Tamandua tetradactyla: one gene and its partners. The protein of the gene in region 4 interacts with the protein of the main gene of each other region in a pairwise test. Links are inferred from orthologs where the notes say so. Each region holds a gene or a part of one and is shown on either strand. Other genes may lie near its edges. The genes, in order: GOLGA1, BFSP2, EGLN3 and ATF4.

Region 1 (7,263 bases), on a different chromosome or scaffold from region 4:
TTTCTGAAAAATCAGTGAAAACATCCCAGGGTCTGATATTCTGTTTTTTAATTAAAAATTTATTGCAATTAGAGAGTAACAGAGGATATGTTATGCTATTAAAAATTAATTAAATTGACTTAGCATCAGTGTGCACATTAATTTCAGGAGAGTGGCAGCAGTAAAAAAGTTCAGTAGATAAGGCTAACATTGTGAATATGATCTCCAACCCTAGCATTTGTAAAGCCAGTTACTTTGTAGTCAGATGAGATAAGAATTAGAAAATCAAGACTTTCCCTCCTTTATTATATCTCCTGTATACTTATACATTGATATTTATATTTATTTTGCTGGGCTTCCCAGTTTTCCTGAATACTATGTGCATTTTGCATTTTTTTTCAAACAATTCATCTTCTCCAAAACCAGAATTGTAAAACATAATATTACACCATATCCTAGCCTCATTAAGTTTTGAACACAGAGATCTATTTAAGCATGTCTTGTGTTTATGAAAAGATCATTGATGTGTGACTGAAATCAGTCACCTAGAAGAGAAGAGTATCAGAATGATGTAGGGGGATAATATTAAGTATAACTTAATCTGTTGTTGCCATAGCTGTAGACATGAAATTTTTTTTTCGTTAAAATAGGCATTTTTCACTTACTAGTTTTGTGTAATATTGATTTTTAAGAAGACTTCCATTTCTACAAAACATTGTTACTTAACTTGATTTAAACATCCATTTCTTAATTTTATAATATTTTTATTTTCTTCTGTGCTTTTAAAGTTAGTTATCAAACTACTCTAAGTAGTGCAAGTTTTAACAAAGTCAAACAGTAGATTCAGGACTTTTAAATAGTTTGAAGTACACTGTATTAAGTATACACTCCAGATCCACTTAGTTAAACCTGAATTTGGTGCTAGAATTGACTATAAATTGGGAGTATTTTTCCTATTTTAAATGAACAATAGCCGTCTATATCCTAAGACAGTCATCCTTTTAGGTATGGCTAATTGTTTATTGAGACATAACATAAGTTATTTCAGGGGTCAGATTTAAAAAAAAATTTTTTTCTTTTCAGGTAGTCTTACAGAATAAAAGTTGATAAACTGATTGTTTCAATTTCTGAGTAAGATAAGGAATTAAGGCTAGCCTTTCCACAGAACTTCAGTAAACTTTAACATTTTGTCTTTTTACTTAAATATCCTGTTTTGAAGCTCTTATGAATGTCTATTTGTTCACAGCTGAAAATTGAGATTTGTAAACATTATAACTTGAACCATAAATTTCCTCAAACATCAAATCAGTATGATCAACCATTGTAAAATGTGAAATGATCGTATATGAACCCAAAGTAAATAATTCCAAAACATAGAGGAATGACCACTGTATTTTAAAAGAATCCCATCCTCTTTTGCACATTATTAATTTTTTTCTAAATTAGAAGTATGTATTGTGATGTATTAAAAATCTTCAGGGAAAAATGTTTAAAATGTTTTAGGGCAATAAGAATTTTTATTACTATTTCTTGAAGAATAAGTTGGTTTTTACTCTTGATTCTTTATTATAACATCATTTAAAAGAACTTCTAATGATCAGTAAAATATTTTAGAACTTGATTTTCATGGTTTTTTATAGTTATCTGGATGCATTCCTTTTGCCACATAGACCATATGGTTAGTTCTCCAAATGCTTTTTGTTTTGAAATAAACTTTTCTATTCAACAATCAGAGTCCTATATTTTTGAGGATTCTTCCAGATGAGGTAGACAGGTGTTAGATAATAGGAAAGGCAGATGCAGTGTCCTAACATTTTCATAATACAGCTTATCAGTGAAGGAATTTATTTAAATAAGTTATATTCATTATGTAGCATCAGTGTAGACAGTGGTTTCATTAATCAGTGAATCACATGATGCAATTTAAGTCATTTTGTATTTTGCACTGATTATTTTAATTTCAGGCCACATTACTATTATCTCTGAGCCATTTTCACCGTAAGGTTGAGTACTGTTTTGCTTTATACAAATCATCACCAAAGGTTAGGATAATCAATAGGAGTTAAAATAAGTTATGCTTGAACTCTTTTTCCTTGAAAATAATGGCAACCCATTTGTACCTTGTGGATATCAGGCAGAAATGCACTTGTTTAAATCATAGCAGAAATTACATTTGGAGGATATAGTTCCTTGATTTTCTGGTGGTGTGAAATACTTTTTTAAAAATTGTGCTTGTCTGTAACTGAGATGTAATACTTTAAGGATTATAGAGTTACATTAGTTCTCCTCAAGAGACTGAAGCACAATCATTTTCTCTTAACAGTTCTTATCCAAGTGCTGCTAATCTGTAGTGCAAATAATGAAGCTTGGTTGTTTAGATCCAGCTCTTGCCAATCACTGTAATATTACCTTGACATTACCTTGTTGCTCATTTGTATTAAAATTTGAACACTGTGGGTTAATACTTTAGAACAAAATCCATCAACTCAGCTCTGTTAGACAGCAAACCATTTGGATTCAGTCATTTTTATACATGTTATTAATCAGTAGGATAAACTTTGAAGGAGCTATTTACTACTGTTGACTAAAGGGGAAATTATATTGGCAATAGCATTTGACTTGAACATTTGTGGTATTGTAAAATCTTGTCTCCTGTTTCTAATTTGCTTAAACCGTACATACTCTTAAACAAGGATGTTTCCTGTTTTGTTCCTTTACAGTAGCCTTTTTCTGCTTTGTTATGGTTAATTCTTAATAGGTTTTAGATATTGAGAAGTTATTGAATCATTTTGTTTTCTGGAGCTCATCAGTTTCAACTTTTGTATGATATGTGATATGTAACAAAGGACAGCAGCCTTTCAGTAACTACTAAATGAATTTCAGAGTCAACACTGTTTCTGCAGAGCAGATTCAGTAGGCCCTTGTCTTTCCAATGTTTTCTTCTGTTGTATAGTGCCTGCCACCTCAAGGGCGCTTTATATTAGAGGATGGAAAGTTAAAAATTGTTTTGAGGTTTAATGAATAACAAATTATACAACATTTGATTTTTGTTGTCAGTGTATTGAAGTCATTTTTGCATTGATAAATGTTCTCTTGGAATGTGACTACATTCATCAGATGTGAACTGTTGTAAATGAATTTTGTATCTTGAATCCACATATATAAGTGTATCATCAACATAAAAATAAACAGTTTTGCTTAAATTTTTGGTACTTCAGTATTGTTGACGACTTAGACACTTACCTGTTATGGTGTGCTTCTTTCAGACAATACTTGAGATGCTTTGAACTATCTTAGGGTTGTGGATTAGATGCTTATTATTCTAGTTTGTAAATTTCTTCTGAGTCCTGGTCTTGATTTTTCCCTGTCCTGCTTCTAGTGCTCAGAAATGAACAAGCAGAGGCCAGAGGTGGAAGCTGCTGACCCTCGGACTGGCTTTAGGTCTCACGCAAGAACAAGATGTCTATTAACTTGTAATGCTTGGCGTGGCACTGAGGAGTCAGATCTCACGTCCGCTACTAGTTTGCAGTGTAACTTCGAACAATTAAGTGGATAATAAAATTAATGAAGTGGACTCTCATCCACTTCTCTTTTTAATAGTGTATCAGTGCATTACATAATAAAGGTATACACTATGTGTGTTCCGGGTTGCCATATAAAATGTACAACCTATAGTAGGTCAGAAGCACACAAGTTAAAACACTAGTACAAGGCGCAAGTTCCCACTACTAGTTTCTGGAGCAAAGGCTCCAGAAGAAGGAGGCACAGACAGTCGGTGATTATGTACTACCTAGTGACAAGGCAGACATGTGAGATGCAGTGGACTGGGATGCGCGAAGAGGAATGGAATGGAAGCTCCCTGTTGCCCCGGATTTCTATCCAGCACAGCCGACTTTAGCCCTACCACACCAGTGAAATTCTTTCCCTTTTACCACGAGACCCTCATACTTTCCTCGCTCCGCACAACTTTCAAATAAAAAGAAGGGAAGAAATTACTCGGCAACAATCGTAATCTGTGTACCCCACAGCTCGCTGACGTCGCTTGCAGGCTGTAAGCAGCGTCAGATACCAAACCTGCATAGTCCGGCCGTTCCGGCCCAACCGTCGCTTGAAAGTTCGCACCCAAGGCCCCGGAGTAAGTGCACGAGCGCATGCGCGAGCAACGACTTCCGGTGTTCTGGTGGAGGTGCGGTTCCGGGTCGCTGCTCGGCCGGCCGGCTGGCTGTGGGGGCTGGTGACGCGGTCCCGCGCTCAAGAGAGGCCCGGGAGGCGGGGCTTTGTCGGCTGCCCCAACAGTGGCAGGTGCGCAGGCGGGGGCTCCGGGTACCGAGCAGGCCCCTCTTTTGCCCTGTGGCCTCGGTTTGCCGCCAGAGCGGTCCGGACGGGGTGCCCGAGACCCTGGGCAGGGGGCCTTACCAGGGTGCTGAAAGGGCGAGGGTGGTGTCGGCGGGCTGCCTCGGCCTGGGCGTCCAGAGCCTCGGGATCCAGGATTCTCCCTGCGCGACCTTGGACAAGTCACTCCGCCTCTCTGGGCCTCAGTTTCCCTGCTGTCAAAAGGAAGAGGCTTTGGGCCCCAGCCTTGTTTGACAGCCCCAAACCCTGGCGGGTTTCCAGAGAGTGAAGGAGTGTGATTCAAACTGCTACGGGTGGCCCTGGTCAGGTACCTACCTGCCTGCCTCTCTGGGCATTTGGTTTACCCAAGTTTGCCATTTTTTTCAGCGGCTTTCTTAGTGCGAGTCAAAGGTCAGTGACCATATATCCCAGGGTCTGGCCAGGTAAATGATGTATGACTGTCAGAATCAGCTGGGAAACCTTAATCTCTTTCAAGTTGTTTTGCTCAGGGCTCCCAACGAGAAGTGAATTTAGGGACCTACTGCAGTGAGAGATTCTTTGTACCATAAGTGTAGCTTTTAAGAAAATTAAAAATGCAAAGAGACTAGGGTAAGGGAGGTTAGACTACTGAAGGTGGTAATGACAGGATTTTTTCCCCCTTAACCCACTCTCCCTCTTCCCACCATCCCCAAATACTGAGGCCTCACACTTGAAAGGAAATATCCAACGTATTTTGTCTTTGTTTTCACGCAGGACAGAATGCTTTGACTTCCAGGCTGTTTTAAATCTAGTAGATAAGCTAGGTGAGTAGGTGGTTTACAGACATTGAAGGTCAAGTTTTGAAAAATTGCACAGACTTAAGTGGATGATCTAAAGGGGTGAAAAATCATTTGTAGATCTTAGAGCAGAACCTAGACAACCTTCATGAAAAATTAAGATTGAAGCAAGAATAGTAGTGTTTTATACATCAGTGGGAGGAAAAGATGCATTAATCTGATGTTAAATATTATTTCAAACATTCTGAAGAAAAGAAAAGTGTGATTTGGGTTAATTTCATCAAACTCAAAAGAGCACCACTCAACATTTCCAAGAAAAGTTTAGGGATTTCTGATACCTATGCAAAATCGACCATGCTTTTTTCTAGGTTGTTAGCCTCTGTTACAGAGGCTTTTCCCCATATTGAGTTACATATATTTTTATTCTCATCTTTTAAAAAAGGCACCAAAGTGTAATTAAACAAATTAGTTTTATTGAGGGAAGGATTTAAAAGCGTTATGTGATGCTATGTTTATCGTGGGAAATTCTATAAATGCTATAGCTGTATGCTATAGCCAACATGCCATTTTATTATTATTTTCAATAATAATAATTATTTAAAAAAAAAAAAAGAATAGGGACTTGTAAGTCAGAAAGACCTGGATTCAGATACCAGCTCTGCCACTTAGCTACATGATCTTGGGTGGATTACTTCATCTCTCTAAGACTGGATTTCCGTATCTTTGTATGCATATGAAGTACCAGAGTGCTTTTTTAAATGTTTAGTATTTGTGGTCTATTAAGAGTACATGTGAAGTTATGAGACTAAATTTTGAAACCTGAAGGTTAACATAAATATGAAACAGATTTCAGAGGTTGAAATCTTTCCAATGTTTAACTTAGAGTTGTCTCTTTCATCTGATTTCTAGATACTGTATTGCCATAAGCCCTTTTACACACATTTAAATGGGAATGCAGCTGGCTCCGATGTCTGGAACTTTTTAGGCACCTGTCACTGAATCCTGGTTGTTGGCCTTAAGGACTATTTGGTGGTTCAAGAGCCAGTCTATAGTGCAGAATATCCACATAGCAAAGATGTTTGCAAAACTAAAAAAGAAAATCGCAGAAGAGAGTGCTGTTGCTCAGAGACCAGGAGGTGCTACTAGGATCCCCCGGTCGGTGAGCAAGGAATCTGTTGCCTCTCTGGGAGCTGACTCAGGAGATGACTTTGTAAGTATCTTCCCTGGTAGTTTTGAGTATTTGGTGCCCTCTCAATTTAATGTTTAAATAATATTGCAGGAAATTTTTGAAATATTTTCTTTTTAAATTGCATGATTATTTCATAGCTTTTGTAGTTTATAGCTGAACAAGACCTTCACATGTGCTTTTTCTTTCTCTGGGGTGCCTTTCTATATCATTTTCTTATTTTTCTGTGAGTCCCTTTCCACATTCTCTACGCTGTCCTCTTATAGTTCTTTTCCATCAATATGCTTTGTGCATCTTCTTTTACATTTAATCTTTCAAAATGCCTGGACTTGTTTTCTCCCTACTTAACTAGGTCTATGAGTTGTGGTATGAGGTTAGCCAGCGTGTACTGTCTTATTGGGAAAGTAGATAGAAATTTGTCAAAGATGTCATGGATGACCACGTGTCTCTTATTTTTAAAGTACCCTTGTGGTTGGAGAGATTCCAGAAAATGAGGAGGCTGCTGTATTAGGGAACTGTCATGCCTAAGGATTAAAGTGTGTTTGGCATGTGGCGGGATCCTCTTAAATCAGATGACTTAAAAAAATGCCTGATAAATATAAAAGAATGTATACAATGTATATATAGAGTATAAAGCATAAAAATTAAATGAAGTCCTGTTAATCTTCACCCATCTGAAGAAATAGAACATTATCAATACTCTTGAAGCTACTGTATGTTCTTTCTTAATTCATTCTCTCCTTCCCATCTCTGTGGATAACCACTATCCTAAAGTTTGTGTGTATTATTCACTTCCTTTTTAACAATTTATTGCTTAGTGCTGCTAATTTTTGAACTTTATAAGAGCATTATATCATAGGTAGTCTTCTTGGAGTTGCTTTTTTTTTTTAACTGAACATGTGTCTCAAATGTTGCTTCCTTTAAGATTATAGCATTTGAAAAGACCACAGTTTATCAGACATTTGAGTTGGTTCCATGATCAAATGAATT
Region 2 (8,161 bases), on a different chromosome or scaffold from region 4:
GTACATGCCCTAGTATCAGCGATGCCATGGATAAATAGACTTTCTAAGCTGTTAGCCATTGGGTCTCCCTTCTTCAGGGATTTTGCAAGGCATGCTACCATTCAGTTAGCCCCAAGAACAGTTCTGCACAGTCGATACAATGCTCTCCAAATGATAGATGAGGAAACAGGTTCAGAGATGTTAAGTAACTGGCCCAAAGTCACCCAGCTGGTAGGTGGCAGAGCCTGCCTCCTACTTGATGCCCTTTTCACTCTCTATATTGTGCAGAGACCTGATGCTTGCCCAATTGGGCTGAGAGATGAGAACATGAGCATGCAAATAGTTAGAGGACACCGTGGCAACTGCTGCGGGGATGCAGGCACAGCCTGTCCCGGATCACAGAAGGAACAGAGGAAGTATCACAGAGAAGCAGGGGTGCTGAGGACACGCTGTGTGCTCCGGGGTCCCAGGAGGCGGTGTAGCTGTGACATGAAGTGGTGAGATCAGGCAGAGGGTTGGCTTCAGAGAGGCCCTACTGACTGATCCCAGGATCAGAAATGTGTCCCGCTGGTGATGGGGAGCCCGGGGTTGTGGGAAGGGATCTGATGTGGTTGGATCCCAGGGGCTGAAAGATGGTCCTGGTGGCTGGGTGGAGGGACCAGGACGGACAGCAGACGGTCGGCAGAGCTGTCTACGGCCCATGCTCTGGCATGGTGGGGGACGTGAGGGTGAAGGTCAGTTTTGTGATAATGAAGGAAAAAAAATCATGTATGTTTCCTAAATAAGTAGAATTAAAAAAAATTTTTTCTTTTCAGAGAAGTAGCGCTTAACCTGGGCTAAAAGCCTGGGATGTTTGATATAGAAATAACAACTCCATCTTTCTACATTAGTCTAAATGCATCTTCAAGTCCACAGTTAAAAAAAAAAAAAAAGAAAAAGAGAAGAGAACTCTGTCTTCCTATCTGGGGCCTCATTTATGGCCACCTAAGAGGGAAATGAGCCCCTTTTAGGGCTCTGATCACCAGTGGTAGGGCACAGAGGGTGTTGGCAGCCACCCCTCACTTCTGCAGCCCTGGGTGGCCCTGCTCTCCCTGCTTGCCACGGCCTCTGGGTGGCGGCCTGCTGTGGGCAGGGACCACGCACTAATTACCTACGGATCTGCTGTAATATCCTAGGCATTTCTGTACCCGTCTTACAGAAGAGGAAACAGGCCCAGAGAAGTCGAGTGGCTGCCTCCTGGAGCTGACAGGATTTCGGGCCCCAGACTGTTCTAAGGTGGCCCCCCTCACAGCCAGATGGACGCACGTGGACAGCAGCAGCAGGGCAGACAGCCTGGGAGGACGGCGTGTCCATCATGTGTGCTGGGCTGCTAGCCTGGCACTGACTGACAGAGAAGGATGTGGGAGGAGCACCTTGGGATGAAACGGGAGGCAGGAGGGGCACCGGGGAGGCCCTCTGAGCAGCTGCTCGGTGTTACACGGCAATACACGAACAAGGGTCTGTGACATCCTCCTGGGAGGTTGCGGGCTGGCCCCAGAGGGGCGGGGGCCATGTGGCAGCTCCTGGCTGGGTTAGAGGAAGACTTAGCTCAGGGACCCCAAGGCCAGCATTTGGGGGTGGGGTAGGGGGAAGCCAGCCACCCACAGGAGACCAGAGGAATTGTGCAATGCTGGCTGGAGTCCCAGCAGTAGACCACAGGCTGCAGGCAGGCATGACGGGTGAGCTTGGTGCTCTGTAGAGAATCACCCTGGAGAGTGGCAAGAGCAGGGCCTGCCTGAGTAAGCAAGCCACAAAGCTGAAGCCCCCTGTGCTGCCCCACCCATGATAGCCACTGGCCACATGTGGCTATTTAAGCTAATGAACGTTAAATAAGATAAAAAAAATTCAATTTCTCGGTTGCATTAGCCACACTTCAAGGGCTTAATCACCACGCGCAGCTAGCAGTTACAGATCAGGCAGTGCAGACATAAACCATTCTCATCATGCGCATAAAGTCCCATTCGAATGTAAAGCATCTCAATGATTTTGTTGTAGATTACATGTTGAAATGATAACATTTTTGGATATACTGAGTTAAATAAAAGAGAACATTAAAATTAATTTCACCTGTTTCTTTTCACTTCCTTTAATGTGGCTAATAGAAACTTACAAATGCCTTATGTGGCCCATATGATATTCCTATCGGACTAGGCTATTATAAATGGACACAGGAACACTTTCCATTTTCCCACAGACATTTGGTGTGGTACTGAATTTGATGGCGGCTTAAAAAAACAAAAGAAAAACAAAAACAAACCTCTCTCAACAGTAAAGACTGACAGAGACAGCAAGATCCGAGACATGAAAATTCAGCTTTGATTCTTAGTGCCACCGCCTTACCACCCCCCCCAGCCCCCGAGCCCCCCAACCCCCAGCCCCCAACCCCCCACCCCGTCAAGTTACTTAACTTCCTAGTGCTCAGTTTTTTCATCTGAAAGATGGAATCAATGATGGAGCCCCTGCACGGTGCTGTCGGGGACCATTACAGCAGACGGTGCAGGTACAGGGGCTGGCGCTACGAATCCTCAGTAAATGGGAGCCACTGTTGATTTTATTGTACGTACCGTGGGGAGAGTTTTCAGCATGAAAATATGACGGCCTTTGGCCAGTTTCCCCGGCCTCAGATCATTCATTCCCTAGCCCCTGACTCGGCCCTGGCAACGCCGGAGGACCTCGGCATCCCTCCCCCCGGCCCCCTGCAGCGCCCCTGGGTGCGGCCCCGACACTCACCTGCTGGCAGCTGGCAGCCCAGGAGGCGCGCAGGGCGCCCCAGCCTCCGGCGTGCGCGGCCTTGCTCTCCAGGTGCACGCGCAGTTGCGCCTCCAGCTCCCTGCTGACCTGCTCCAGCGCGCGCACCTTGGCGGCGTATTCCACCAGGCACTCCCCCAGGTCCTCGGCGGCGCAGTGCTTCCTCTCCAGGCCTGGAGCAGGCACCGGGGCCAGGCCCGAGCTCCGCAGGCCCTGCAGGAAGACGCTGCTGATGCCCAGGGCCCGGCGGGTCACGCGGGCACCCAGGCCACCTGAGCTCCCGGTGGGCGCCATCCCTACGCAGACCCGGGGTGCTTGTCCCAGGCCGCCCGCAACCGTAACCCTGGAGGCTGAGGGGCTCTCCAGGGAAGACAAAGACTGGGCCCCCCTGAAGGACACCCTCCGCCTCTGGAGGGGCATGCTGGAGCTGGCACCGGGGGGCACGTCCCCCGCTTCTCGCCGCTGGCTCATCGCCCCTTCTGCCTCTGTTGCGCCCTGTAGGTTTGCAGAGCGCTGGGGCTTTTGGATTCCAGCCCCAGCGTCCCTGTGGCCTGGTCACAGCCCTTTCTGGAATCTTCTCTATCCCCAGGGCCGCTTTGTCTGCTGTCTTCCACGCGTTTCCATCATTCACTGAACTGAAAGAGAAATGGGTCCTGCCTGGGACTGCATGCAGAGGCGCTTATGCATTCTTTGCAGGGTCATGTGCTGGACTGCCAGGATTTTTGTTTGCGGGTGGGGGAGGCTGGACCAGTGCCGGCTGTGGGGGTGATTCAAATGGGTCTGTAGAATCAGAGCTTGTGTGGACAGGGCTTTTTGCTTCCTGAGAGTGCAAGGTAGGCAATGGATAGCCCCATTTCACAGATGAGTAAACTGAGGTGCAGGGGCCTCACATCACAAGTGTGGTGAAGGGTTGCGCCAGGACACAGTGCAGGTGTTCAAGGCCCAATATCAGTGCATTTCTACATTCCTCCCTGTGCTGGTGTGTGTGTGTGAATGTGCACACATGTACACCCAGGTATCAGAGGATGAAATGGCTGTGAACCAGCCATGGAAGAGGCAGCCCCAGGGAGTCAGGAGAAATAAACTAAGTTCAGTTTTCCTTCACCCGCCCTCAACCCTGGCAGAAGCTGCAGGTTCCTATAGGACTTCCTTTTACCCTTTCCTTCTCATCTCTGCCCTGTAACATCCCTTCCTGGCAGTGGAGGCAGGCAGGCTTGTCTAGTGTTTGTGTGTGAGTGTGAGTCTTTTGGAGATGGGAGATGCCCTCAGAGAGGGAGCTCAGTGTGGTGGGGCCTCTGCTTGGCACTGGACAAGCTACTACACCTCTCTGGACCTTACTTCCCGCGCACTGGCCAGGGGCTCTAACTCTGTGCGCTAGATAAGGACCTCGGGAAAATTCACGTCCCACACATGCCGTGCACCTACGATGCCACAAACATCCCCTATGCTTCTCTCTCACCATCTTTCAGAAAACAGATAAAAACAACGAAGAGAGAGGTCTTCCAATAAGTTCTTGAAGGGTGCTTGAAGTTAGGATTTGATGACTCTTGGGTTTTAATTTCTACCCTCAGCATCCACTGAGGCATGTTTCAGGGTCACACCGCAATCACTTCTCCAGATCCAGAGAGGATGCCCCAGAACCAGGACCCTCAAACGTGGACCCAAAAGCCACTGCACTTAAATTGTGCTCTGAAGAAACCAGGTAACTAAAACCAGTGCTGGATATTTATTCCAGATCCTGCAATGGGAATACACCTCGAGTGAGAGAAAGGGAAGGAGCCCACTTCTCGTGAAATCACCTCCAGCCCAGGGCTGTGTGTGATTTCCACACTTTATTTCCCTGAATTCTCACTTCAACTATAGGAGATGGGCACAGGATTGACATGTACTGTCATATGGGCTGCACACTGCACAATTCTGGAAGTATCATAACACGTCCAACAATTGGCCATTATTCCCATTTTCTAATGAGGAACCCAAGAGCTTCAATGACCTGCCCAAGGTCTCATGTCCAGAGAGAGCTAGGAAAAGGCCTCTTCTGACTCCTAGTTCGGTGACTTATCTAGGACCACCTCTGTTTCTCAGCATCCAGAGAGCAATGACCCACCCAAGGTCACACAGGCAGAGTTAAAACCCCTGGTCACCTGCTAGAATAGTCTGTGTACTCTTCTTTGCTCCTGATTAGGACACCAAAACACTTCCTTTCTTTTTCTCCCTCTTTTACTTTATCTATGAGATGGCATAGGAGGTACTTTATATATATTAATGTTAGTTATTTGATTAACAGATTAAGGAACTAACTTGATCAAGTAAAGACCAGTGGTTACCCCTGTTTATTTAGATTTGACATTTTTGCTGTGAATGATACCTCTGGGGCACTCTAAAGGGGCTATGACACACGTGAGAATGTGTCATAACAACACCCTCCCAGCAGAGGTGGTAAGTACAGGGCCCCAGCATCTGCACTCTTGTTAATTCCAGGATGTATCGTGCAAGGTGAAAATGAAGGGTCCAAGCCACTGAGCAGGTTATCTGCGAATGTGTCATCTTCCAGCACTGCTGTTCGCCCCTGCATGGTAACCTGAAGCGGCCAGGACGACTTTGGGTCTCTCTGTGCTAACGATGTTGACAGTAAATCCACTGAGCCCTGGGGAGGAGAAGAATGAGGAGGGAACGCACCTTAACCTACACCGGCGTCTCAACAAACCTAAGAGACGGGATTCTCTTTCGAAGAAATGACAAACACTCTCTAAAGGATTGGTTTTATCAAATGATAAAGTTGCTAATCCTATTAGCTCATCACACTCATAAAACCCAACTTACTGTTAAATCAGATTTTAAGAAACACAGATGGACATAAGGCGGTGGTGGTAGTGCTTAAGGAACGCTTAGGAGTTATTGTAAAATGAAAGAAACGCAAAATGTATTAGCAACTTAATCCTCTGGCTAATAAAATAAGTTTATTTATATATACATGGTAGCTGAATTCTGTGGATAAGGAAAAATAAGTCATACACCCACATATGTATATATAACATATGTATCTTGGATTACATATATTATATATGGATTTCACTTTACAAACAGATTTCTCGCTCTACACGCACGCACGCACGCACATTGATATGTTAAATGCAATAGCTAACAGAAATGTTATGCTAAGGTCAAAAGGGTCAGACAGCAGCATGTTAGAAAAATGAATCTCAGAACAACATTTAATCTGCTTCTTTATGGGTTGAACAGTCTTTGAAGAAAACAGCAACCAAACCCAGGTCTAGTAAGTCATACAACACTGAGAACACACATTTTCGAGGACCATCTTTTTTTTTTTTTTCCCTTTAAATGCAAAATGTAGGAAGGAAAAAACCGTGATAAAAATACCACAGCAACGACACCAACATATGAGTCACATTCAAGTTCAATTCCCAACCGGACTATAACAACATCTATATTCAAAATATACTATCAAACTATTTTTCTTTAAGAGAAAGGAAGCATCGAAGCAGTTATCTTCTCTCCCAGCCACCATCTATTAAAAATAAACAGAAAGCAGCCCATCTCCGGAAGCCCTTCTTGTGCCTCCGGGGGTCTGAGCCCGGTCGCCTGCTGGGTGAGGGCCCAGAGGGGCCCGGCAGCAGCGGCCACAGCCCAGGGAGCCGCGTCCTGGGAAAACGCTGAGCTGGGTGGCAAGTCCATCCACTGACGCCACATGCATTTCTGTTATGCTCTAAGGATAGGATGGGTGCCTTCTCCCAAGGTGTCCAGTTCGCTTTGGCAATGTTGCTATTTAAGATCACAGGAGGAAGATTTCCAAAATCACAGACCTACCTCAAGGCTTCTTGGATAAACGTGGTCCTCGGGGGCACACCATTGCCTTTCGAGAACACGAACCAAAGCCCCAGTAAACATTTGATCCTTGACCAAGGGGAAGCTTGAAGGCTGGGCTCTCCGTCCGCGAGAGAAAGGCCATGTGTTTAACCCGGAGGTCAGTGTTGGGGGGGAAGTAGGAAGGAGCTTAGAGGGAAGACTTTTCTCCGCCAGGGCAACGGAGTCCTGTGGTGTCCGGCTGGCCTGGGAGGCCCTGTCTTACGGGGCGAAGGGGATGTGGCCTTGGGATGCCATGGCTTCCTGGTGGGTTCCTGAGGCCTGTGTGCTCTGCCTGCCATCCAGGCTCCGGGATGGAATTAAACTTGACAGCAAATGGTGCCGCTGCGAGGTCCCGGGGTACTCATCTTCCGGGGTGATGAGGTGTCCTTTCCCTGCTTCATTCACGAATCTGCCATCGTCCCCCCAGACGGCCTGGTACCCTTCATGGGTGTGCATGTGATGGGGGAGGAAACTGAGTCACAAAAACATGAATAGGAATCAGTGCTTTAAGAATCACTCAAAAGGCCACACACTTGACCATTCTAACATTCAACTTGGACTTAAGCTTCCATGGGAGGTCAGTCTATTCCTTCACCTGCCTGGGGCTCCAGGGACCCCCAAATACTCAAGAACAGTCATCAAGAGAAGCAATCAATGCAACTGCTTTGCTTAGAAATACCTTTATTTTATAAAGCCACGGATCGTTCTGTAAAGTTGTTTTTTTTTTTTTTAAACCACACTTATAAAAAAGATGTTGACACTTCTTAGGAAAAAAAAGCTGAAAATGTTGCTCATTAAGTCAGGGTTACACAAAGGTTATATTTATAATATATATATATATTTGTGTGTATCTATAATTTAGAAATGGAAAGTAGGAAATGGCAAAGCTGGAGCTGCTGTCGTTAGATCGCGGACACTTGGTTGGTTCCCACGAACAGGGTTTCTTCACAGAAGGGGTTTACGAGGACCATCCCGGTGTCTCTGTAGTCGCCGTTGGCGGGGGAGCGGGGCTCTGAGAGCTGGTCCTGGGGACAGAGAGGGAGGAGGTGGCGTGAGCTGGACGGGTTCATGAGGTGCCCTTCTTAAAGAAACATACACGTGGGACACTTGCTTTGGCAATGCAGTGGTGTGGGGCACTCTTTGCTCCTCTTTCAGAGTTTCATAGTAGCTTCTTAAAACGTCTCCTTGCCTCCTGAATTGGCCCCATGCCCCAGGTGGGCAGAACCAGGGGTGCCCAGGGCCCCAGACTCCCCTGCACACCTCCTTCCCCCAGACTTCTGGGATACCTGTCTGCTTTTCCTCCTTGGACACACCTGTACCTGCCCACCTCTCTTCCTCTCCTGTCATGCTGAGCCACTCTTCAAGAGAGAATTTCTCCCACTCCCAAACTGTACCAGAGCCCGGTCAGGATTACTTTCCCATCTCTGGTAGTACTCGATGTGCTGAGCCAAACGCATCTGAATCTGTGCGTGACTGCACCACAGGTGGGGAGTGAAAATGTCAGCCTCTCGGCACAGCTCCAAGAACA
Region 3 (8,091 bases), on a different chromosome or scaffold from region 4:
CATGATTGTTCTGTAAACACACAATTTCTCTAGTAAAAGTAAAATCTAATGAATAGGAACATCTTTGGAAAAGCCTTTAAAATGCAGCAAAAATTGTTCTTTAAAATATCCCATATTGAGCTTGACACTACTGAGCTTCTACTATCGTTGTCATGTTTCTAGCCAGAGCTTTTTAGACATTTCAGCTCAAGTGAGAGTTGGATTGGAAAATATTAATGCATATCCTTGATATGTCACATGTCCCAGAATCTGCACATGGCCAGCATAATGAAAGAGAAAATGAAAGAGGATTGAGTTTAACCATAGACTGAGAAAGAATTAAGAATTGATATTGAAACTCACTTTCCTTGCCGTCCTGTTACACCTGGAGAGGAACAGGAAGGCCTGACTCCACAGGGAAAGGGACATAATCAGATGCTTCTTTCTCTAAGCCCAATTCATACCTGTGAGCTCAAGATATACAAATTCACTTCAGGTACTCTCCTCTTATTTTTTGCCAGCTCCTTTAAAATTAACTGCATTTCCTGTGTCCTGAAGGGTAAAACTGAGAAACACAGCTGACTGAGGTGGTAGCAAATTACCAATGGCTAGTCTCAACAGACCTATACATAACTGAATTTATGTTGGATTCCTGGAAACACTGGGCCGTAATTGGTATGGAGCAAGGGAGAAACCCTAATTTGTAGTTTGGAAAATAACTCCTAATGTAGTCAACTAAATAATTTATGGTAAGTTTTGCTTATCTACCTATGGACCCAACATCAGTAAGGAAACTGATAATTAAAGTTGTCACTGCAGGTTAAAGCGTTCCAGCAAAGAGTTATAACAAAAAGATGACTTAATGGCAAAATCATTTCTATTCCAAGCAAGCAGTTCAAACTGATATTTTCCTTCCTGAGCTCAGTATATTGGAATCTCTCAAAATTTTTCCAGCGTTGTTATAAACTCACTTACTGTGTGACCTTGGACAAATTCCATATCTCTGTTCCTCATTTTTGTCATTTTCACAATGGGGAATAATAGTATCTATTTCTTTGTGTTGACATAAGAATGAATCAAGGTAATATTTGTAAAGTTTTTATTGAAGTGCCTGGAATATTCTAAGTATTACAAAAGTGTTGGATAAATAAATAAAATAGCCTTTGGCTACCTTAAGTCATTCAATATAATAATAAATTTCTTGATGATATATGGGCAAAAACACAAAAAAAGAATATTTAGGGGCTAGTTAGGAGGGAAGGAACTTCAGGCACAACAGAATTTTGAAGGAACGAAACAAATTAGACACTTTTTCATAAATAAGAAAGGATGTGATGGAAAATTCATACAGTACTTGTGCATGTAAATTATAAAATGTAGTGTAAAATGGTTCAGCCACTATGGAAAACAGTTTGGCAGTTCCTTAGAAAGTTAAACACAGAATTTACCATATGATTTGGCAATTCCACTCCTAGGTACATACCCTAAAAAACTGAGAACAGGGACTTAACAAAGTGTTGTTTGCAAATTCATAGCAGCACTGTTCACAACAGTCAAAAGGTGGAAACAGCCCCAGAGTCCATCTGTCAGAAGGGGTAAACAAATTGTTGCATATGCATACAATGGAATGTTATTCAGCCGTAAGAAAGGAATGAAGAACTGATACATGGTACAAGGTGGCTTACCCTCCAAGTGAAAGAAGCCAGATGCAAAAGCTCATTCATTGTATGATTCCATATATATGACATATCTAGCATAGGTCAATCCATAGAGACAGAAAACACATCGGTGGTTGTCAGGGGCTGGTAGGAGGGGGCAATTGGGATTAACTGCTTGATGGTACAGAGTTTCTTTTGGGGTGATGAAGATGTTTTGGAACTAGATAGAGGTGGTGGTTGCACAATGGTGTGAATGCAATAAATGCCACCAAATTAGTCATGTTAGAAATGTGAGTTTTACCTCATTAACAAATAAATAACATTAAAAAAAATTAAAAAGAGGTGAGTTGGATCGCTTTGTTAACTGCAAAGACAGAAGCATCCCAAGCTTCCTCTTCCATTCACAAGAAACATCTTACTTAGAAAAGTAGCTTAATGTCCAGCCCCTCTGGGCCATGGCTTTCTATATGAAAGTGAAGCTGGACTGGGTGACCCCTAAGATCTCTTCAAGTTTGAATTCCAAGGTAAAGAAATTCAACAACCCTCCTCACCCACATGCTTGAAAATTCTTGCATCTGTATGGCAGATGCTCACTGGAAGACAACGTTGTTGTAATTAAATTACAGGGAAATGAATTTGTTTTAGTTATCAATATGAAAAAGTATTTTAATATTCATTACTATAATGACTCAAATTAATGAGCAAAGTCACAAAAACAAATGCACTTCAAAAATTAGCTTGAGATTTGTCACTCTGATGCTCAGTTACAGAGCCTGTGTGTGGCTCCAGCCTGTCTGCTCCCCTCTGTGTAATCACACACTGTGATTTCTGCCAGTCTCTGTATCTCTGTCTTCTCTGCCAAATGCAGTATGGGCAGCCCCAAGCTGAAGGAGATTCTTGATTAATAGGTGCCCTTGCCAAGCAGGAGTGGTGCCAACAGAAATGAATTCTTCTATAAACTGCTCACACTTTGCAATCAGAGTACTCTAGAGCAGTTTTAAGGCCACCAAACAGTCACTACAACTTGCTTAGAATTATTGTTACAATGTGGATGAACTATATAGCAAAGGGCTAGTTAAAGATTTTCTCCCCTTCCTCTTGTGACAACTTTACTCTGAAATTATTCAAATATTATTTGAATAGTAAGCCAAATTTACCTAATCTTGGGATTTTAGAGTGGGGTCAACATGTTCATTCTAGGTGGCAGGTTTATAATTTTCTGTATTTTACTTTTTTCTGGTGTTCTATAAATTCCCTCCTAATTATTCCTAGTACCATCAGGTATATTTATAAAGGACCTTCAGCTAGAAAAAATTCAACCAGCTATCAAAGGTATCTGCCATTTTCCCCACTTTTAATTCTGGCCCTCTTCAGGAATAGCTACTTCTGAGGTACACACAGTCTCCCAAACTGCCAGATCCACAAGCCTCTGCCTACCAGGACCTACAATCAGGCTGCCTCCCAACTAGGTGTCCCCTGGTCATCCCATTATCTATAATGCCCCAGATTACTGGGATTCCTGGCTATGTGAGGTTCAGGCAGAAGGACCTTCCTTCCTTTTGGTATTGCATATCCATTTCACTCCTTGCTGCACATGGGCTGTTCCTCCAGCTTTCACTTTAGGTTTCTGGCTTCCAGCATGGGCATCCACCACGGTTGGCTGGGGAGACAAATCTAAGAGACAAAAATCCTGTATAACACCTAACTGACCCTCTCCACAGGCCTCTGAGGTTTGGTTTGGGACCTGGCTGATCGGCCTGCCACTTCCGTCCAGTCAATACTCTGGAAGGCTCTTCAGTTCCGCATGCAAGCAGCTTCCTTCAGCAGGCTCCCACACAGGCCCAGACACGTCTGAACCACACATGGCAGTGGCCATAGCTCAGGGTCAGCCCCCAGTTTCCCAGTAATTATTTTTTTAGGCACCTACTATGTGCCCGGATTTGGGGATCCAAGGATGATGATTTCTGGCCATCACAGACCTGCTATGGGAATCTGGAGGACAAGTCCTTGAGTGCTGGCCGGTTCAGGCCTTTACCCCAGGGGAAAGGTGCCAACTAATTACCAAAGGTAGGGAACCTCCTCTCAGTATAACTAGAAATTTTACCAAAGTTTCTTAAACGCTCCAACATTGACGTCTCCCAGCACCCATGTGCCTCTGTCAGCTTTTTTCCCCATCATATAGTAACAATGTCCCTTTCTTATTCTACTTCTTGTTCTGGGTCTAGACTTCACTTAGTTTGTATCTCTACATTTCTCTCTTCAGACATAGAAAGGGAAGGGCTGTTAAAGGAGAAGAGAAGTGAAAAAGCTGTAGTAGATTGTGTATGAAATAAATGTACTTGTAAGACCTGTATATTCTTTTGTGCAACTTAAATGAAGAATTAGAGTGCAAACAAATGGGAAAATTATAAAATAGGCAACAGATATGCATGCAATTTATGAAACTTCCTTTCTTGATTCTGATCTCTGCTGTTTGATTTGGTAGGAAAGACCAGTAATTCATAAAGCAATCAGCTGACCTTTGAATACTTAAAAGTTTCACCCCTTCTGGGTGATGCGGTCACTTGCTGGGAAAAGTGAGAGGATGGATCCAGAATAGTTTTATCTTTTTGAGGGCATACCTATACTGAGCATCTGATTAATTTGGAAGGTAAAATTTCAGAACATCATCTTTTCGTTGGAAGTTTGAAAGGTAAATGTCTGAGAACATCCAGAAAAACAGAACATTTGCAGGGTTCGATCAGATATGGCCCAGAAAGTATTTCTTCACTGTGCACATTCCCGCTCTTTGAGAACATAGGGACTTGCACGTAGTAGGAGTTAGGAAAATGTTTGCTAAGGTGCTAATTTTAGTTAGCACTGTTTTGCTTCCAATCCTCTCAGGGGTTTGAAGCCCCTGACCAGGGTCACACCGCAGGGGAAAGGGGAAAGGGGAATAATAAAAGCACGAGGTAAAGCTAGAATGAGACGACGGCTTGACATATCTAATTTGTTGCTGGGTTTAATATTTTTGTTCAAAAGCCTGTGAGGTGAGCAGCCCAGATTGTGGCAACATTAATTGTCTATGCCGTTAATTTCATCGACACTTTCAGATTTTCGACACTTCAGATTTTCGAGTTTGTCATGGGGGTTTATGCAAAAGCACATGCAAATCGATAGCGTTTGGAAACTTCCCTCTGTGCTCCAGCCCCCCTCGGTGTGACAAACAACCCAGGCTGGCGCCGAGCTCGCGGAGAGCCTCCGCGGAGGGGGCAGGGCAGGGAGGGAAGGGGCGGGGACGACGGGCGGGAGTAGGGGTTGTCCCGGAGGCGGGACAGCTCAGGAGTAGGACCTCAGCCTCTAGCTGCCTCTCGCCGCCGCCGCCGCGTCCGCGGTGGCCTCGCATCTCTGCTAAAAGGGGCTCTCCGACTTCTCTCCAGGCCAGTCCAGGGCTGAGTCCTGCAGGTCGGCGCTGCGCCGTGGAGCCCTGCACTGCTCCCGCTGGGCCTTGGACCGGATCCCTTCGCCCCAGAGTTGCGCACAACTTTCCTTCTCTCCGGGCTGCGGTGGCTCGGGGACCGTGGCCGCCGCAGGTAGTTGAACCCCTAGTCAACGCACCCCGCGCCTCTTCTCCGCGCACGCTTAGCTCGTTCGCTGCCGGAGTGCACAGTGGGGGCCCCCGACCTCGGTTCTGCGGACGAGATGCCCTTGGGACACATCATGAGGCTGGATCTGGAAAAAATCGCCCTGGAGTACATCGTGCCCTACTTGCACGAGGTCGGCTTCTGCTACCTGGACAACTTCCTGGGCGAAGTGGTGGGCGACTGCGTCCTGGAGCGCGTCAAGCAGCTGCACTGCAACGGGGTCCTCCGGGACGGCCAGCTGGCGGGACCGCGCGCTGGAGTCTCCAAGCGGCACCTGCGGGGCGACCAGATCACGTGGATCGGGGGCAACGAGGAGGGGTGCGAGGCCATCAGCTTTCTCCTGTCCCTCATTGACAGGCTGGTCCTGTACTGCGGGCGCCGGCTGGGCAAATACTACGTCAAGGAGAGGTCTAAGGTAGGACGCACGCGGGCACCGGCGCCCCGCTGCTGCTGCCACCCGCAGGGATTGGGAGCGTTCGGGAGGCAGTTGTCTGCCGCCTTCGCAGGGTTGCAAGTTTTTAATCAAGAAGTCAGTTTTGTCTCCTGGCACCTCTGAGCCAGAGTCGCTGGTAAGGGGCTCAGGTGTTTAATTTTAATGGTCTTCTGTTGACTTTGAAATAATGGCTCCAGTGAGTGCTAAAAGCTAAACAAGCCGTGGCTTTTGGTCTGATTTTAAGAGACTTCCGTTCTCCGAGATCCAAACGAAGGAAAGGATATTAGAAACACTGTGTGTGATCTGAGGCACACGTGTACTCATTAGCTTAAATGCCTGCTTTAAACTCATCCAGGATGCCCCTTCATTGTGTTCAGAAGGGGTTCCTACAAAAGCACTCAAAGAGTTCTGGAGAGAGCTGTGATTTTGCAACGTGGCAATTGGTTTGTGGAGTGTGTGGCAGGTGTGGAAAGAGTTTGGCTTGTGAAAGGGTAAAACACCTCCATTATAAAGTGAAAGGTCCCTTCTTCATTCTGAGGGCTGCTACCCTTGACTGGTTGGACCCAGCACATTATTAAACCATCCACTTGGTTGTGAACATGTGTCCAACATTCGCCACTGTCAACTGATGGCAAAATCCACTCAAAACAACCGGTTACGTGATCAGGAGAGAGTAATCAAGAAATGATGGAAAGAAATGATTTCTTTGCTCACATAGCCAGAAGTGGCTCCCTGAGTGGTAATTTTATCTTGTTGACGTTTACTGGGAGATTGGCAGAAGTAAGGGAACATGTAGGTACCATGATGTTGTTGCACTTAGATTACTTTGGGATGGTCAAGACAGGCTGCCTTTCTTCAAATGATAGACCAGCCATTTTTCCAGTGACAGTGCTGTGATTTGCACTTCTTTTATGGCGGACTCTGAAGTATAGGAAAGTTTTATTCAAACAGTCAAATAAAGCATACCAGCAGTGACCCATTCCTTAAAAACATCTGCATTTCTCGATTCAAGATTGATCCTGTGATAAAACCAACCATTGTAATCTCATTTTCCCATAAGGTGAAAGATTGGGGTGGGTGAATGGAGCAGGGGACAAGTAGGTTGTTATATTCCTTTCAAGCCTGGAGGGCAGGAACAGGGTTTCTGAAAAGCATCATAAATAATCAAATCAAGTAAATATTAGAAGAAAATTCTGCTTTCTAGATTTTACTTTGATTTGAGGGAAATTCAGTTAGCTGAATTCTGTAGAAGATTGCTATTACAGTGTTTCTTTGCTCTTCCATCTTTCTTGTGGTGGATTAGAAAGTCGTTTGTCTTGATTAGCTTTGATTTTGTACTGTGACCTTGCCTGTCTCCTGGGATGGGAGAACTGGGTGGGGCGGGGTGGTGGGGAGGGTTACTCAGCAATGCAAAGTTGCATGGAACTTCAACCTGGAATAACAAATGGCTTATCTGTTTTTTGTGTTTTTTTTTAAGGTTCTTTGCAATTTAGAGTTAGGAAATTTCCCCCCAGGATACTAGGAACAGAATCTGCTCCAAGGGAAGTCAGAATTAATTGCTAGAAAGAGGTCACAAACATTTGAAAGTTAAATTTTATTCTTTTGCTTTGACTTAATGGATGAGGGTGGGGTTTCAGGCTACACTTTAACTTGACGAATTGAATGACAAGTATTGTGTACCTCAAAGTGAGGGGGAAAAAAAATCTCTAGATATGATTCTTCAGGAGTGGTTTATCTTCTGGGTGGAACAAGTAACTTTGCAGATAACTTTCAGAAGGAGATTGTAAATTAAAATGAGAAGGTTCATTTTGTTCACTGAAGAGTTGGGTTTAAGCACCATCTGTCCAGACCCAGATGTCCCGCTTTCCTTTGGCTGTTTAAAAATCTTCATTCCTGTCCTTCAGAAAATTCACCTCTACATTGGTATATTCATTTCCTGGCCCCTTAGAACCAAACGCAAATCAGGCTTGAGCTAAAAATGATAGTCAACATTTTTAAAAGCCTGATATGCTTATATACAGAAGTCTCCTAAGCAAGGTCTAGCACTTGGGTCTCTTGTTTGAAACTCATTTTTAAAGCATTGTAGAAATGCACACATTCCATTTCCATTTGATTTATATTAGTTTCACCTTCATTTCATCTTTGTTCACTTCTCTTCCCTCAGTGGTATCCATTATTCTGAGCTACTTCCTAAAGTAATGATACGAACTTAGTTTCCTGCTCTCTCTTCAATCAGGTTTTCAGTAAAAAGTAAAATTTTAAAAGGCAGAATTTGCACATTTATTTTAAAAATGCATTTGTAACTTTTTTTTTATTAATTAACGGAAAAAAAGAAATTAACCCAACATTTAGAAATCATACCATTCTACGCATTTGTAACTTTTTATTGTGAAAAATT
Region 4 (6,886 bases):
ATGGCTGTGTGCTACCCTGGAAAGTTTGAATAGTGGCAGGGGTTGGGGCCCAGTCGCTGATAATTCTCATACACCTATCTGGTGTCCCTGAGAAGGAAGAGGAAAGGGAGGACTTGATAGAGTGTTGAAAAGCAGGGATTTTTCTTCATCAAGGTAAAGGTTTTGGTTTCCCTGCTCTGGTGAGTATTATAAATTTACAGTTCTCCCAAGCTGGTGTTTCTGATCAAGCTTCATATAAGACACTAGAAGGAGAGCTTAAAAAAAAACAAATACATTAAAAAAAAAAATCACGACCAAATCAAAGCCAAATACACAGGGGAAATGAGTTTACTGCCTCTGTTAAAGAACTTCTAAGAGCATCTCTTAACTATGTCACAAAACCAAAAACCATCATTTTGCCATAATACCAGTAAGAACCTCTTAGAAGTCCTCAGAATTGGAACCAGCAGTGGGAATTCTCAGCGTAGGTCCTAGAGAGTTTGCTGCCTCTGACTAGGCAAGCCACTCTCTTGGCTGCCATATTTATCATAAAATGTGGAAAATAATTAAGTGATTTGAGATTTTTTGAATGGAAGGGGATAACATTCTAATTTGTAGAATTAGAATGCAGATGCAGTGGATTTCCCCTCCACCCTGCCTTTTTATTCCATAACTCCCACCTTTTCCTGAAGTTATAGTATCTGTTCCTACTCTGTTTGGAGAAGATTGGGTTTTTTTGCACCATTTAGGTTAGCAAACCATATACTCAGCCTAATGGTTAAAAAATAATACACCCATTATCCTGAAAACCCTAATAATCTCTAAAGGTTTGGTTTTTTTTTTTTTTGCTTTGCTTTTCTGTCACCCCTTCCTAAAATAAGAATTCAGACAGCAGTATTCTTCTTTATATGATCGGTTGTGACTTAAAAAAAAAAAAGTTAAAGCTCATGTTTGGAAAAGTTGCACTGAAGAGGCCTACAGTGTCTTGGACTTGCCCCTGCCAGTCTAAATGAGATGATTTTGCTCCTTTGTATTCCACTCAAGGTAAGAGCTCAAAATTTTTCGAGGAATCAGATTCAGGATCAGGGCCTCTCCAAGAGAGACTGTGTAAGTAGGGATCACTGCATGTGTCAGGAGCCCTCTGCTAAGTTATTCATTACTTGGGTCTCTGACCCTGGCTGTGAACTTCTGCTCTTGGAGGATTAGAGTTCTGCCCTTCCTACCTAAAGTTAAAGGTCAAGAAGAAGAGTAAGAGGCACTGAGGTTAGTGCTGACCCTGCACCAGGCTGTGAGGCTGTAGCCCTTTGAGATACTGGTGACTAAGTGACCAAAATACCAGACATGTGGGTTTTGGGGTTAACAGCCTACAGGTTATTATCTACCTTTTCATCTTGATCACCTTGTAATCTTTAAATTCTTGGTCTCAGAGGTTGAATCCACAACTTGCCTTGTCACATGGCTGTCCTTCAGTGGCAGTTGATGTGGAATCAGTCGTCAGTCTGTCCTGTCTTGGCTAGGACAATATAGGAGCATCTTAACCCAGAGACCTAGAGAATTGCTATTTTTTTTCCTCCTTGAGGGAGGAAATAAAGCTGGGGAACATGATGTCCTTCCACAGAGTGGGGAGAAGAAAATAAAAATCTCCAACAACTTTGACTTTTGTGCGTGGTATGAGACATTTTCCTATGGGAATGGTACTGGGTCTCCATTTTCAGCTTGGAGAACCTTTGAAGTATTTAATCTTGGTTACCAGAATAAAATGGAAGGGACAAGCTGCCACAGGAGTCATTCTTCCATTACCTCTTCAGTATCAAAACTGGGGCAGTGTTAAATACTGTTCTTAATTCTCAACTATCTGCATGGTCATCTGTCAGCACTGCTGTAGCAAAAAGGCCATGCCCCGTGGGCCCCCAGGACACCTTGTAAAAGACTAGAACACAAGACAATTTAATATTTTGTACCCAGGACACTAGACAACTTATGTATGTTCCAAAACTTGTGATTCCCTAGGAGGAAGGAAAATGCCACACTTCTATCTCAGCATACAGTATGCCTTGTGTGTATTTGATGTTTCATAATTTCTGGCTTCATTTGCCAGTAAAGATTAGCAGAGTTCCCTCAGGAAGGAGGATGATGTAAAAGATTTTGTGTGTGTGTGTATGGGTGGGGGGGAGGGGGGGAGATTGGGAAGTCCGGGTCAGAAAATCTGAGTCATAATAGTAATAATAGCAACCTTTTATTGGGCATTTACCATGTACCAAACACTGCTGAGTGCTTTCCATATATGATCTCATTTCATCCTTAGAAGTATACCTCCATTAGCCCCATTTTACAGATGCGGAAGCAGGATCAAAGAAGTGAGTCACTTAGCCAAAATCTCCCAGCTAATAAATGGTGAGGCCAGGATTCTTTCAGGTTTGGCCCCCCAAATCTGTCTTCTAGTCCCTATCCTATGCTGCCTCTAGTGGAAACTATTGACTGGGCAACACGCCTCATCCCATTAGGCCTGTTTGCCATTGTGAAAGAACTGGGCTAGAGTGAATGCAGTCAACAAATGATCGGTAGTTCTCTAGGACAGTACTTCCCAAGTTCCTCAACATCACAGCCCTCAAAACAATGATCCTTGATTGGCTCATTGAGATGGGGGAGGAAACGAATCTTTTGCTGCCTCCTGCCCCTCCCCGGGCCCTGCAGCGAGGTTTCACACTGCAGGTTCCAGAAACGCCAAACACCAGTAAGTGTATGTGGGTCCTGGAGCTTTTCACAGGGCCATTAGTGATGTGTTGGGAAGTTGGCTATGCCTGGGAATTAGTTGAAAGTAATTCAAGAGTCTACAAGATGCCAGTCGAATAAAATCCTTTGTTAGGAGAATTTAATCTATAAAATCCAAAAAAAGTTCCCTTATGAAAAACTGCATGCCTTAATAGGAAACTTACTTTAGCAGAATGGATAACGTAAAAGTGCAAGTTAGGCTATAGGATTGTGCATCTTATTCGACTTTACTGGAGGTGGCCTTTGAGAGAGGCAGGCATGGATCAGGTGACCTACCAAGATGAGGACCCAAAATGAGTGTCCATCCAGTTTCCCCGTTCAACTTTTAAGAGATCTCATGGGGTGAATACACACATTAAGTGGCTTCCCTTTTTTGCTTAGTTTTGTCTTAAGCCCTCCCTCGTTGGCCTAAAGAGAATTCACAAGGAGCGGCTCTCTGGCCGGCCAGGAGAACCTGCACAGCAAGAAAAAGCTGGGTTTTCTTGTTTTTACTGAAGTCGGTGGATTATTCAGCATGCCCACGTTCTACTCAACTTCTCTAACTTCGTGTTAGTGCCCCAAAGCATTTTTAGTATAAGTTTGCCGTTCACTTTTTCCTATATTAATACACTTGACTCCCAAGCCTTCTCGGGGGCAATTTTTTATTAGCTATTTAATGGTGTCCCTGATAGACTGAGTCGGCACCCGCTACGGGATCGCTTTGTAAAACGAAGTAATTTCCGGGCCGGGTAACTTCCGAGGGCCGTTCCAGGTTTGAACTCTGCCTAATCTGTACAGAAGAAGGAGCACAAGACGGGCGGAGGGGGTGGGGGAATCCGGGGACAGAAAGCTCGACTCAGACATGGACCCGATTGCCGCTTCGGCGCCTCGCGGAAGTCGGCAGGAAGGAACTTCGTACCGCACTGGGATCGAGCTGCCCAAGGCAGGAAATCTGCGCGGTCTGGCCAGAATTCCGAGAAAAGTAAGTGGGTAGCGCAGCTGAGCGGAGGGAAACATGCTGGCCGCCCCGCCCCTTCCCGCGCATATCAGACGCTCCTAAACGAGTAATCCGCCCACCTAGGACTTGAGCCAATCGAAGTAGGAGATATATATGACTCACCATGCCTGGGCCAATCAACTCGACGCGCGCCCTAGCTACCGTCTCGCGCGACAACCAGGTGACATCGGCCTTCCTACGAAGGGCTTTTCTCTCCCCTCCTACCGAATTTACACTGTGTTGGCGGATCCTTCCGCGCTCACCGGCGGCGGGGGAGGGGGAAGGGTGGACTCTTTGATCTTAGAGGCCTCGTAAAGGAGTGCGCTTTTTCTCATTTCGTGAGGTCTTTAAAATAACTCATTTTCTCATCCTAGTTATACCTCAGACATCAAGGCCGTGGGCTGGAACCGATAAGTGTGTCACACAGGCGAAAACGAGGGGCTGGTAATGACGGTCACGTGACGGCGGCGGAAGGATGCGTTCTGTGATGTGACTGTCGAGGTAAAGTCTATAAAGGACCCACGCTGCGCGCGCCTCCGCCATTTCGCCTCTGTCCATATATGTTGACATCAGCTAGTGCCCCGGGCTTCCCCACCTCCCCTCCCGCAGGGTCCGAAGCCGCCATGGCGTATTAGAGGCAGCAGTGCCTGCGGCAGCATTGGCTTTTGCAGCAGCGGCAGCAGCACCAGGCTCTGCAGCGGCAACCCCCAGCGGCTTAAGCCATGGCGTAAGTACGGGGCCCGGCTGTTCGGGCTCCTCTCGTCCCTGGTTCGGAGGGACTTGGACGTGGCCTTACAGCCAGGGCAGCGTCGCGGAGGGGGAAGCGGTTTTACGAGCGCGCCCGAGGCGCGTGGTCTCTATTTAGTGTCCCCGAGACGCCCCTCAGTCGCGACAGCAGCGCACGGGTTCGAGGGCAGACGCTCTTCGGCTTGCCGCCCCCTCAGCGCGTCGAGGGTCCCACCCTGTGTTCCGCGAAACGTGGCGGGGGCCAAGATGGCGGCGGGCAGGGCGGGAGCGGGGCGGGGCCCCGGCCGCTCTGGCCGTATTTGGACGTGCGGCTGGAGCGCCTTCTCTCGGTGGCCGGTGAGGGAATAGCCGAGTCTCCGTGGGCCTCCATTTTGTGTTTCCTAACACCGGAAGCGGGAAAGGTTGACCCTGGAACGCCATGGCCCCCATTCTAAGAGGACAGCTCAGTGATTTTCCAATTTGGCCACCGTTCCTCACGAATAGAAAGATGAAATTCTCAGTCAAGGTCGTCTCCAATGGTGCTTTGTTTCGGATTCCTACCCAGGCTTTTCACGGCATTCAGCAGCAGCATTGCTGTAACCGACAAAGACACCTACGAATTAAGCACATTCCCCGAGTTCAGCAAAACCCGGCAACATGACCGAGAGGAGCTTCCTGAGCAGCGAGGTGTTGGCGGGGCACTTGATGTCCCCCTTCGACCAGTCGGGTTTGGGGGCTGAAGAAAGCCTGGGTCTCTTAGATGACTACCTGGAGGTGGCCAAGCACTTCAAACCGCATGGGTTCTCCGGCGACAAGGCTAAGACGGGCTCCTCCGAGTGGCTGGCTGTGGATGGGTTGGTCAGTGGCCCAGACATCGGCAAGGGTGAGTAGAAGTCCTTTATCTGTCAGTGTGGGTCCACTTATCAGGGGTTCTGGTGATAGAGGATGGCTGTCTTGCAATTCTTACTCTCATCTTTTGCAGAGGATGCCTTCTCCGGGACAGATTGGATGGTGGAGAAAATGGATCTGAAGGAGTTTGATTTTGACGCCCTCTTCAGTTTAGGTGACCTAGAAACCATGCCCGAAGAGCTTTTGGCCACATTGGATGACACCTGTGATCTCTTTGACCCCCTAGTCCAGGATAAGGAGCCCTCCCAGACAGAGAACCCAATTGGCCATCTCTCAGAAAGTTTACCAAAAACTAACCATGTTGCCCCCTTCACGTTCCTCCAACCTTTTTCCCATTCTCTTGGGGCCCTGTCATCCACTCCAGATCATTCCTTTAGTTTAGAACTAGGCAGTGAGGTGGACATCTCTGAAGGAGAGAGGAAAGTGGACTCTGTTTATGTTACAGTGATCCCTCAGTGCATAAAGGAGGAGGATTCCCCCTCAGATAACGATAGTGGCATTTGTATGAGCCCTGAGCCCTATCTGGCCTCTCCCAAGCATAGCCCCTCTACCTCCAGGGGCTCTCCAAATGGGAGCCTGCCATCTCCAGGTACTCTTTGTGGCTCAACCCGCCCCAAACCTTATGACCCTCCTGGGGAGAAAGTGGTAGCAGCAAAAGTAAAGGGAGAGAAATTGGACAAGAAGTTGAAAAAAATGGAGCAGAACAAGACAGCAGCCACTAGGTACCGCCAGAAAAAGAGGGCAGAGCAGGAGGCCCTCACTGGAGAGTGTAAAGAGCTGGAAAAGAAGAATGAGGCTCTGAAAGAGAGGGCGGATTCCTTGGCAAAGGAGATCCAGTATCTGAAGGATCTGATAGAAGAGGTCCGCAAGGCAAGAGGGAAGAAAAGGGTCCCCTAGGTTTTGTAGTCCAGAGTGTGTTTGCTTGTACATAGGCTTGCTATGAATGTGTTGTAATAAATTATTTTGTAGTGAAAGTATCTGATTTCTTTGCCTCTGAATAAATCTTGGAACTACATTTCAAAATTAGAACAATTGTAGGTTTGCCAAAAAATGCAGAAAGCAGAATTCCCATATACCTACCATACTCTTTCCCCAGCAATGTTTAACCTTGTGTAAGATATTTCAGATTGTACTAAGATCCATCCGTTAAAGCGGTTTAGGGTTGGATGATACTAAAGTTTTCTTAACCAAAAATCTACCACTTTATCCAGTCAGGCAATTCAGTGATGTCACCATCCATTGTTAAAGCTTCCCTGGAGATGGCTTTTTAACCTACCTTGTGTTACTAGGGGTGTTTTCCTATTGGTGTGATTTGATATGGCCTGGTGGTATAAACAGGTGGCTTGCATTGGGCCGCCAGTTATGAGTAGAAGTGTGTACTCAGAACTTTGGCAGTTGGCTGGGTGTTCTTCCAGGAACGAGGGTGGGGTATCCCTTGAATGGTAAGCTACTGCTAGTCCTGTAGGATGACTGGGAGGAGCATCCTTCGTTCCACCTGTTCCAATTGCAGCTTTGTGCCAGTGT

Evidence for each region.
Region 1: the proteins of ATF4 (region 4) and GOLGA1 interact in binary tests that used the Homo sapiens proteins (3 or more experiments, as listed by UniProt). The two-hybrid records come from large-scale screens. The link is inferred for Tamandua tetradactyla from reciprocal best matches to the Homo sapiens genes ATF4 and GOLGA1.
Region 2: the proteins of ATF4 (region 4) and BFSP2 interact in binary tests that used the Homo sapiens proteins (3 or more experiments, as listed by UniProt). The link is inferred for Tamandua tetradactyla from reciprocal best matches to the Homo sapiens genes ATF4 and BFSP2.
Region 3: the proteins of ATF4 (region 4) and EGLN3 interact in a two-hybrid assay, tested with the Homo sapiens proteins (2 studies listed by BioGRID). The link is inferred for Tamandua tetradactyla from reciprocal best matches to the Homo sapiens genes ATF4 and EGLN3.

The regions. Positions count from the first base shown.
Region 1 is NC_135328.1:47,074,780-47,082,042, reverse strand, and holds the start of GOLGA1 (golgin subfamily A member 1), read left to right. Parts: upstream 1-4,164; 5' UTR 4,165-4,281; intron 4,282-4,296; exon of another isoform or gene 4,297-4,722; intron 4,723-5,064; exon of another isoform or gene 5,065-5,114; intron 5,115-5,996; 5' UTR 5,997-6,162; coding exon 6,163-6,297; intron 6,298-7,263. UniProt on the Homo sapiens protein: Involved in vesicular trafficking at the Golgi apparatus level. Involved in endosome-to-Golgi trafficking. Mechanistically, captures transport vesicles arriving from endosomes via the protein TBC1D23.
Region 2 is NC_135341.1:77,189,788-77,197,948, reverse strand, and holds the start of BFSP2 (phakinin), read right to left. Parts: upstream 3,238-8,161; coding exon 2,749-3,237; intron 1-2,748.
Region 3 is NC_135340.1:20,112,038-20,120,128, forward strand, and holds the start of EGLN3 (prolyl hydroxylase EGLN3), read left to right. Parts: upstream 1-4,969; 5' UTR 4,970-5,318; coding exon 5,319-5,675; intron 5,676-8,091. UniProt on the Homo sapiens protein: Prolyl hydroxylase that mediates hydroxylation of proline residues in target proteins, such as PKM, TELO2, ATF4 and HIF1A. Target proteins are preferentially recognized via a LXXLAP motif.
Region 4 is NC_135333.1:32,071,916-32,078,801, forward strand, and holds ATF4 (cyclic AMP-dependent transcription factor ATF-4), read left to right. Parts: upstream 1-4,248; 5' UTR 4,249-4,454; intron 4,455-5,018; 5' UTR 5,019-5,110; coding exon 5,111-5,336; intron 5,337-5,435; coding exon 5,436-6,259; 3' UTR 6,260-6,336; downstream 6,337-6,886. UniProt on the Homo sapiens protein: Transcription factor that binds the cAMP response element (CRE) (consensus: 5'-GTGACGT[AC][AG]-3') and displays two biological functions, as regulator of metabolic and redox processes under normal cellular conditions, and as master transcription factor during integrated stress response (ISR).